Linked DNA regions of Bombyx mori. The protein of the gene in region 1 purifies or fractionates together with the protein of each later gene. This does not show direct contact. Links are inferred from orthologs where the notes say so. Each region holds a gene or a part of one and is shown on either strand. Other genes may lie near its edges.

Region 1 (5,319 bases):
TGGATCGGGAGGATCCGAGATGACGTGTTTTGGGCGACGTCGACTGCTTTCCATTCTGTCCGCAGGATCGGGAATGTAGTTACCGGCGGTCACGATGAGAGGGTTCTCATGTCGTGCCGCTTTATCGAAGTGGCGCATCGACGCCGACTGCATACACTTACTGGTGGACTCTAAGTCCAGGTCGTCATGGAGGTGTTCTTTCTTCTTTACAGGGTGAAACTCTACAAAACTTGCATACGTATGGTAATTACCTAAGCAAGTGTAGTGTTTGGTCACCGAACCCGCCCTCATATTAACTCTCTTCATGTCATCCAATGAGGAATGTAAATCTTTATGACAACCTCAAAATCGAGACTCGAGCACTAGGTACGTACCTGTGCCCGAAGACAGCATCAGAACGCCTCTTTGAAAAATCGTCGTGATATGATAACCCACTTATGTTGGCCGCCTCTAATAACCCTGCAACCAGGCAACATATAGCCACCGTCGCTCTAAGCATGTCGGTAGTTTTAGGCTCACCAAGCTTCGGTCACCGTTGTTATCGAACTTTGTCGCTGAGTTCCTTAAGCAACCTAGTCACTGGCAAACAAGTCCTAGACACAAGTCACTGAGGAAGCCCCACGAGTTTGCCTTCTAATTCGGAGAAACTGAAATAGCCCTTTGAAGCTACCGGCGTCCAGATACCTAAGCTTTTGTCAAGGCCAGCTTTACCGTCAACGTAAAACACGTGGCTCGCGTGTACATATTGATTTCTCATATATATTTAGAATTAGTAATAACCAACACTACATCGCACCTGCTCTTATTTTGGGGAACGATTAAAAAAAGTTCAAAATACCGATTAAGAAAATAAAAAATGTTATGCATTAAGAAAATTTATTTACACAGTTTCTACACACTGGAAAAAAAAAAAACATAAATAATTTAAATTCTGTCCTTTATCACAAAACAATGTACAGTAAAAAAAAAGATATCATGGATCAACATAACAAAGCTAAAGACTAGTTTCAGTATTGTTATGATGTTTTTTATTTTTATAGTTTTTGTTAATTTATATTTCCAATATTTCAACAGTATAAAATAAAATAAATTATCGATTCTGTTACAGGCGTCTATAATCATTCCTCTCTAGTATATTTTAACACATTAGTAATAGCTGACTATAATAAAAAACAAAAAAAATAGCAAAACTCATAGAATATAAACAGGGTGGAGAGAAAATATTAAATCATTAAAATCATTTGTAATTTTTAAGCAATTGAAACACTCCAAATAAAAAACAAAGAAAATAAACTGGAGTCTGTTTTTATTGTATAATAATTTTCGGATATTTTTCTATTTAAAAATTTAAACCAAGAATAACGCTGGCTAAAAAATATATATATTTATATTTGAAGGAATGTTTTATTAACTAAATATATTCTATAGATGCCACAAAACGGTGGCAAAAGGTCCGAGGTGTTCGACCAAATGCCGAATTTACTATTTGAAAAATCAAACATTTTCATTAAAAACATAAAAACAATCTTATCAACAAATGATATGTAAGAAACGGAAAAGTCTCCCTAAACTTAATATTATGTACTTATCAGAGTTTAAAATAATAACCACAAGTAAATTTTAAACAAATATTTACCATATCCTATGTATGGTACCTGAATAAAAAATAAAAATTGCTTGTATGGGTGGACGAGCTCACAGCTCACCTGGTGTTAAGTGGTTACTGGAGCCCATAGACATCACCAACGTAAACGCCGCCACTCTCCTTGAAATATGAGTTTTAAGGTCTCAGTATAGTTACAATGGCCCCGTCCCTCAAACCGAAACGCATTACTGCTTCACGGCAGAAATAGGCAGGGTGGTTGTACCTACCCGTGCGGACTCACAAGATGTCCTTTCACCAGTAATAAATCACTCTCATTTATTTATTTCAGTTACTTAGTATACAATTTAACAAAATTAAATGTAAAAATATGTTATGGACCAATTGGTATATTTAATTTATTTTTGTAAATAATATCCCTTGTGGTTTATTACAGACGTGGTGTCATGAATTCATAGAAATTTATTTATTCAACATTTTGATATAGTGCGACGTTAAAAGCCCGAATAGTAACACTACAATATAGCTAACAATTAAAAGTAATTTAACGCGTTGAACGTCATGACCGACGCCAAACAAGTAACCCACCACCATCACCAATATCAAGAATCGTCTAAAAAATCGTGGAGGTGAAAAAATTACTCAAAAATAGTGGACGACTTATGGAAACAGTGAGTACCTACTCATTATTTTCCGAGAGATGACAGATGACAGACACTGTGTCTGTCACGAGCCCCCCCTCTTCTCTCCCCCCGACCCGAGTTATTGGCGGTCACAGGATGTCCGCTGCAGTCCACTGGGCTAAAAATGGTTTTCTAGTCTGGTGTTCAACGATTAAATGAAATCGAAACTTTACGAAAGATATGAAGAAAGTACTTTAAAAAAAAAATTACGCTATTTCAAGTATAATGATTTTCTTGTGTCATAGACAACAGCGGAAACAATGCTGTGGTCTCAAGTGAGCAACGAAATCGAACACTTAGGTAATAAAAAGGTTGATTGAAAATTTTAAAGAATCATCTAGAATGAACTAAATGTATTTATTATTATTTATGTACAGTCTCACCATCAGTTAAAAAATTCAGTACTTATTCGACCTGAAATTTCGCTACTATATCTAAAACATATTTATTAATAAATTCTTAAAGTTTTATTAAAATGTACATTTAAAAGAAAACAGCCCTAATTTTTAGTGCTCGTCGATTGTGAACTATTCTTTTTGGCTTCAGCGATCCAGCTGTGTATTCTTTCTTTGAGTTCAGTGTCTGATTTTACTTGATCCATGGAGAGCGGCGACCTGTTGAATGGATCTGACTGATCACTTAAAAGATGCCTGAAAATAATATGGACAATTTTATAACTCTGATCGCTCAAACCGCATTTATGTTAAAGAAAGAATCATTAAAATCGGTTCACCTAGAAAACAAATCAACACATAAAATAACTAGTCGAATAACCTCATCCTTTTTTGAAGTTGGTTAAAAAGGCAGACCGTCCACACGCTTAATATAATGTTCAAATATCTCTTACACGTGCATTCTATGCGATGGGTGTATTGAAATCTCTCCCGAAAACGCAATCTCAAATCAGCCGATTAATAAATTCAAATTTGAAGGGTTGTCAGTAGAGCAGTACTTGTACAGCAGATGTACTTGTTTGTTTCAGGGCAGAAATACGGTGAACAATGGTACCGGTGTGGGCTCAAAATACGCTCATTAATATGTTATCAATACCAATAATAAGTTGTTTGCTTGAAGGGAACATTTTTTTGTTGTTGCTTAGGTGGGTGGACGAGCTCACAGCCCACCTGGTGTTAAGTGGTTACTGGAGCTCATAAACATCTACAGCGTAAATGCGCCACCCATCTTGAGATATGTTTTAAGGTCTCAAGTATAGTTACAACGGCTGCCCCACCCTTCACACCGAAACTCATTACTGCTTCACGGCAGACATAGGCAGGGTGGCCACCCGAGCGGACTCACAAGAGGTCCTACCACTAGTAAAATAAAAAGGGTGCGTGTACTTATACGCGCGAAAGAAGTTATATATATATATATTATTTTTTTTAATATTATGTAATTAATAATAAATATTTAACGTTAATGATTTAATAATATTTAGTATGAATTATATTAAATAATAATTTTGTCATTTATATTACTAAAAAATGAATGCTAATAACACTTTTTTTACGAGTGTACATACCCGAAAGTTCACCTGCGGCTATATTCAGACTCGCCAAGTTACGTCGGTCGTATTGTAATGAGCGACTTAGTGGGCAACTTCATTTCTGTTAATTTTGTGCCCCGGTGCGCGCGCATCGTAAAATTTCACTCTCATCAATTTTTCATAACGCGCCTAAAGAAGTATAACTTCAAAAAATACCTGGCTATTGTCGTCCTGTCGACCGTGGTCCTTGAGCTCGGAAGCACGACGGGGTCCAGCATGATGGTGCTCATGATCGGATCGAGGAACTCGTCTGGAGCGTTCGCGAGTATCTCCTCGTCTCTCTGCTTCTGTTCGGCGAGCAGTCTCACTCGCTCGGCAACCTCCCGCAGTGTGCTTATGAGAAAGCCCCCCCCGATGCGGACTGTTCACATTTTATTTGTTAGTGTAGTATGAAAAAAATGTATCGTTCAGACTTGAGGCTGAAGACTAAATCTTTAGTATGTAAAAAAAGTACTTAAAGTAGTGTATTAATAAACAAAGTAGTAAAAAAATTAAAGCGTTCTTTTTCTTAAACTAAGCTTCTACAGCCACTGTAAAATGGTCATAAATTTACCATAGGTTAGAGAAGAATCGGTACGAAATCAGGCTTTGTTCTTTTTCAGTGTAATACTCATGCGTATACATACGGCGTTTACGTCACTGATTATAAATAAAACATTACGTTACTGGGCACTAACTAAAGATACCAGAGCCAAGCCGCTGCCTACCGATTATTCATCACTGTTCCGACTGGAGCTTAATTCCAAATAGGGCAACGTCACTCAAATAGCAGCTGACCGTATAATACGGCTTTTATAGCATTTATAATAAAAAAATTACCGTGTGACAACCCTAAGAGATTACTGAACCGAACCGAAGAGGGCCGAACCTCACTAAAAACCCCTGCCGCTCACAGCCGGCGCCCTATCCCGAACCGAGCCGCAGCCCAGTCGGGGCCATTGAGGCGGTAGGACAGGGTCGACGCAAAGCATATTACATTTTTACTGGTGGTAGGACCTCTTGTGAGTCCGCGCGGGTAGGTACCACCACCCCGCCTATTTCTGCCGTGAAGCGGTAATGCGTTTCGGTTTGAAGGGTCGGGCAGCTGTTGTAACTAAGCTTGAGACCTTAGAACTCATATCTCAAGGTGGGTGGCGCATTTACGTTGTAGATGCCTATGGGCTCCAGTAACCATTTAACACCAGGTGGGCTGTGAGCTCGTCCGTCCCATCCAAGCAATAAAAAAAATCATCCAAGAAGTTTACTAGTATTTTTTTTTTTAGTTTATGGCTTGGTTTCTAGACCTTTAGGCCAAGGTTACCTAGTACAGTTTCAGCGAGGGTGAACAGTTGCGGCGAGTAGGAGCGGCCGTCGTCGGACACGGCGTTGCAGAACCGCTCGTTGTTACCTAGCTCCACGTACATACGACAAATGTCCAGCACTGTACTGGCCGGGTCGAACTCGTATTCCTTCATGTCTTTTACCTGAAATGTTTTTTAGAGTTAAAG
Region 2 (5,319 bases), on another chromosome or scaffold:
TGAGCTTACGGCCCGCTCGACGTGAAGGGGTTACGAGCCCATGGACATCACGTGATAACAAAACGTCGTGTCTTGTGGGAGTCAAATGTTCTTTTTTTCTTTCTTCTGACCTCGAGCTGCCATTTTAACAAAACTAGTGGTCCCGCAGTAGTCGAAATTCGACTATAATTAATTGAAATTATAAGTTTGAACATTATTAAGGTTTTATTGTCAAAGACTATTGTACTTCTATCATCACAGATTTCGCCAAGACTACACTATAGACAAATAATATTGAAGATAAACAATATTAACCTATTCTCTATTTGACCATAGACTTTGAGCAATAACTAAAGTTTGGCAATAAACAAAGAGTATATATATGTGTGTGTGTCAAATACATGGTAGTGTGCGTAATGTTTTCTTTATTGATTTAAGGTATTATTAGCATTACTTAAAAAAATAATAAGCATGCTGCACTCCTTCTCTATATTCTCTATAAGTGTGGAAAATTTCATACTCCTCCGTCTGCGCAATTTTCGTAAAAAGGGATGCAAAGTTTTTGCTTCGCGTATTAATATATAGATATATATATGTCAGTCAGTTACTTCGTTTCGACGTGAACAAACACACGTGCGCATTTATAATATTAATTTGGATCGGTTTCGCTGGCTTGGGGACGAATTTGTCTCAAAACATTCTAGAGTACCTCATAGAAACACTTGGAAGGATTTGGCGGTATTAAAAAAACCGCCATTCGTATTCCCGATGCAATGTCTCGTCTCGTTACAGGAAGAGAGGAAACGGGAGAAGCTTGAAAACGAGCTCGCCCGGCAGCGGATCCTGCAGCAGATAGCGCAGGACCGGGCCGAGAGGCGCGCCCGGGACCTCGCCCCCGCGCCCCCAGACCCCAAGCCCGCGCCCCCCGCGCAACTGCCGGGAAGTAAGTCTTGAACAACTACCGTCGCCCATGTACCTCAGCAATGCCAGGGGCAGAGCCAAGCCGCTGCCTACCGCTTAATACTCTCCGCAAGCCTCGTTTGAAGAAGGACATGTCACAGCGCTCGGGAAACACCGTGGAGGGGAGCTCATTCCATAGCGGCATTTACGTTGTAGATGTCCATGGGCTCCGATAACCATTTAGCACCAGATGGACTGTGAGCTCATCCATCTATCTAAGCAATAAATATATATATTTTTTTATTGCTTAGATGGATGGACGAGCTCACAGCCCACCTGGTAAATACGTACTGTAAATGCGCCATCCACCTTGAGATATAAGTTCTTAGGTTTCAGTATAGTTACAACGGCTGCCCCGCCTTTCAAACCGAGACGCATTACTGCTTCACGGCAGAAATAGGCGGGGTGGTGGTACCTACCCGCGCGGACACACAAGACAGGTCCAACCACCAGTGATAACGCAAATTGTAATTTTTCGCACCGCAATCTGTACGTTGGTCCGTTGTCAGCAGCAGGGGGGGACGGCGCGGGGGCGCGCGTGCAGTTCAAGCTGCCCGACGGCTCCTCGCACTCGGCGCAGTTCGCGGCCGACGCCACCGTGGAGGACCTGCGCGCGCACGTCAGCCGCAGCGCACAGGTGAGCCCCTGGGGGGACGACCTTGGGGGTCGGGGACCTTGGGGACTGGGGACCAGGGACAGGGGACCGGGGACAGGGGACTTTGGGGACCTTGGGGATCGAGGATCTTGGGGACCGAGGACCTTGGGGATCGGGGTCCTTGGGGACCGATAAACACACTAATATATACATATGTACATGTACACTATTAAAAATTATTTTTAACTAGGTGACCCAGCAGACCTCGTAGTGCCTCAATCGATAAATAAAAGACCTAAACTTTTGTATAAAGTAAACAAACAAAAGGAATCCGTCCGACGAAGGACACATCAAAGGAAAAACAAAATTGTTATTTATATTCAATTCCGAGCATTTTCATATTTATCTATATTTTAAACCTTCTCTGGACCTCCACAAATAATTCAACACCAAAATTAGCCAAATCGATCCAGCCGTTTTCGAATTTTAGCGAGACTAACGAATTGCAATTCATCATTTTTATTTATATAGATATAGATAGATTGAGTGGTCATTGTCGGTCGGACTTATCGAACCGCGACGGGGCAACGCCAAACCGCCGACGCTCGAAACATGTCTTATCGGATCCCCTGGATTCACTCTCGGCGCTTTTAGGACCCTCAAGAACAGGTTACCGTCCTCGTCGAAGAATTCAATGAGTAAATTAACCCAGAGTAAATCAGCCCATTAAATTTCTCAGTGGTAGATTCTGCGAAGCACTGCTCTTGCTAGGGCTAGTGTTTCTTTTTTTTTTTTGTCTGGAGGGAATCGCCGGACTTCCGCCCTTCACTGGGGATGGAGGGCGGGGCATGTCGGAGTCGAACTGACTAAGGTCTATCGCTCAACAACCCACGTCAGAACCCCGAATGAGGCAGAACTCAAGAAAAGGTAAAGGGGGGAAATTGAAGCGTTTAGTGCGGAGCGCATCTCTTCCATCATCCTTCCCGGGCTAGTTTTAGCAAATTCTCTCAGGTTGAGCCCGTGAGCTCACCTACCCGCGCGTAGCGGAAATAGCCTCATATGCTACCAGAGAGTAGGTAGGGACAACAAACTGGGTCGGTGGACAGTCACAAAGGCAGGAGAGCACGTCACGATGAGTGCGCCTGATGCTCGCACGGCTGGAGACGGTGGCCAGTGTGGTCTGAACGTGAAGGTTGAGGTGGACTACGTCTGGTCCCCAGCTGCAGCCGTCCAGCTTCACGCTGTGGACGGCGTTCCCGCGGCGCGAGCTGACGGCGGGGGCGGAGTCCCTGGCGGCGCAGGGGCTGGTCCCGTCGGGCGCCGTGCTGGTGCTGCCCGTGCGCGCCGCACCCCCCGCGCCCGCACTCACTTCCTCCTTCGCCTCGCTGCTCGGTGAGTGCATCAATAAAAGAACCAAAGCAATAAAATTATTATATCGCTTTTTTTTATTGCTTAGATGGGTGGACGAGCTCACAGCCCACCTGGTGTTAAGTGGTTACTGGAGCCCATAGACATCTACAACTTAAATGCGCCACCCACCTTGAAATGTAAGTTCTAAGGTCTCAGTATAGTTACAACGGCTGCCCCACCCTTCAAACCGAAACGCATTACTGCCTCACGACAGAAATAGGCAGGGTGGTGGTACCCACCCGCGCGTACTCACAAAAGGTCCCAGCACCAATAAACTTTCAACTGTGTTGAATGTTTGCCCAGCATTCTTCTCGAGCCTGTTCTCGACCCTCGTGCTGGAGCCGAGCCAGCAGGTCTACCAGTGGATCAGATCTAGGCTGTTCCCCCCGGCGGCGCCGCGCTCCCCCGATCCCCACTCTCCCTCCCGCGCGGCGCCCCCCGGCCTGCGCCGGAGGGGGAACGTGCACCGTCTGCCCGGGGACACCGGGGCTAGCGACGACAACAACACCTGGAACGGTAACTCAACGCAGCAGATGTAACCGACCACGCCTTCCAAGGGTGCTCAGGACTAAGGGTCCCCCGAGCACAAACATATCCTAGAGTTTGTCTGAAGCTCGTGATCTCCACGGCATCATGGCTCCCTTCACTCATCAAAGCTGATCATTCCGGTACCTTCGACCTACGATAGCCTCAGACTGTGTGGGCCCGTGAAACAGCTTCTTTTGTCTTTGAAATAAAGGTGAAAATTCAGTAACATTAGCCGTAATAACTTTGAAATTTGAATTGAATATTTGTACCTCATATATCTAGTAGTTAATATGGTTGCAAAATTTTTTTTTAATTGCCCCCAATGGTGATATTTGCTACCCTCATCACTGCGTGTCCTCACAGGTCATCGACCCCCCTGACATCTGAGTGTTATATGAAGATTTAAGTATACAACATCAATGCTTTTGAACCCGATGTTTTGATATGGACGGGGGGTGAGGGGGGCCCGCCCCCCGGCCCAACCTCTGACCAATCCTGCCCTTATTTTGATCCCACATTCAATTAGTTTTGTAATTAATATTCTGTCAAAGATAAATCTCGACTGGAGCCCAGCTGAAAGATGTCCACTAATACAAGTTTGAATGTGGCAAATCAATCTTGATCTTATTCTAGTGAACGCTATCCCTTTTTCTGTCCCTGTGGCTTTTTTTTTTAAAATAAAAATCGCGGTAATCAAAATTTTAAATCTACCCTCAAAAATACGAAAAATAAGGCAAAAGCGATTTTAAGCAATGACGCGATCGGATTCTTCTTAAATCGACATTAAAATGTATATTTTACTGAAATATTTGTTCATTTATTGTTATCAATGTTAATTAATATCATAAGATGGTGTTGTGGAGACCAGACCAGGTTTATATCACTATTCTAAATAATTGTCTGTTTGTTCGTTGTTCACACGCAGGTATGAGAATGATGTTGAGAAGATATCTTCTTTCTTTCTATCTTTGTTTCTCTCTTTCTTTCTTTCCTTATGCGAAACATAATAATGATGTTAATAATAATTGTAGAAATCATATTTATCACATAATAATATAATAAGTCATATTTAAATAAATAAAATAATCAAAAAATTGTAATTTTACTGTAGTTTTGTGGAATTGAGAGCAACAACATATTATCGGTTGTCGTGATTAGTATTTTTTTTTTATGAAAATAAATGTAAACCTTAAATTTATAGCATTAAAGTTGTGAATTCTGCTGTTAGCTAGAGGCACTTCCGACTTTGTGGTTGTATGTATTATTAAAACACTTAAAGTTTAATCTTTTGTTTGATTTATTCGATTCACTATTTCTTGTTTTTTTTTTAAGTCAGTTGAATCTATGTGAAGCATACGGCGTGACGTCATTTGTGGTCAATAATCACGAAATTGTCATAAACTTTATTTAGGTACTGGTGGTGGACCTCTTCTGAGTCCGCGCGGGTAGGTACCACTACCCTGCCTGTTTCTGCTGTAAAGCAGTAATGCGTTTCGGTTTGAAGGGTAGGGCAGCCGATATAACTACTTAACACCAGGTGTGCTGTGGACTCGTCCACCCATTAATGCAATAAAAAAAAATGCTTTGCTTAGATGTGTTAACGAGCTCACGGCCTAACTGATGATGAGTGGTTGCCGGAGCCCATAGACATGTACATGCTAAGCCTTTGCTCGCCCAACTGTCCTGGTAAAACTGGAAAGGCCTCCCGGCCACCAGTAATCCCTCAATAATAAAAATAAACTAGCTTGTAATGAGTTACACATATGCAGGCGTGTTGCAAGCGCCACAATTGAGGGTAGATTGGAGACTGCAGGAAGCTATGAGCAGAAAAAACTACCTACCCTATT

What was found. The genes of interacting proteins can lie anywhere in the genome.
Region 2: the proteins of ubiquitin conjugation factor E4 A (region 1) and UBX domain-containing protein 4 purify together in Homo sapiens (affinity purification with mass spectrometry; 3 studies listed by BioGRID and IntAct, counting the BioPlex papers as one, with this or other methods). This does not show direct contact. The link is inferred for Bombyx mori from reciprocal best matches to the Homo sapiens genes UBE4A and UBXN4.

Annotation. Positions count from the first base shown.
Region 1 is NC_085114.1:9,639,101-9,644,419, forward strand, and holds the end of ubiquitin conjugation factor E4 A, read right to left. Parts: intron 5,296-5,319; coding exon 5,133-5,295; intron 4,194-5,132; coding exon 3,989-4,193; intron 2,937-3,988; coding exon 2,786-2,936; 3' UTR 860-2,785; downstream 1-859.
Region 2 is NC_085108.1:1,311,164-1,316,482, reverse strand, and holds the end of UBX domain-containing protein 4, read left to right. Parts: intron 1-771; coding exon 772-922; intron 923-1,448; coding exon 1,449-1,576; intron 1,577-2,754; coding exon 2,755-2,926; intron 2,927-3,247; coding exon 3,248-3,483; 3' UTR 3,484-4,756; downstream 4,757-5,319. UniProt on the Homo sapiens protein: Involved in endoplasmic reticulum-associated protein degradation (ERAD). Acts as a platform to recruit both UBQLN1 and VCP to the ER during ERAD.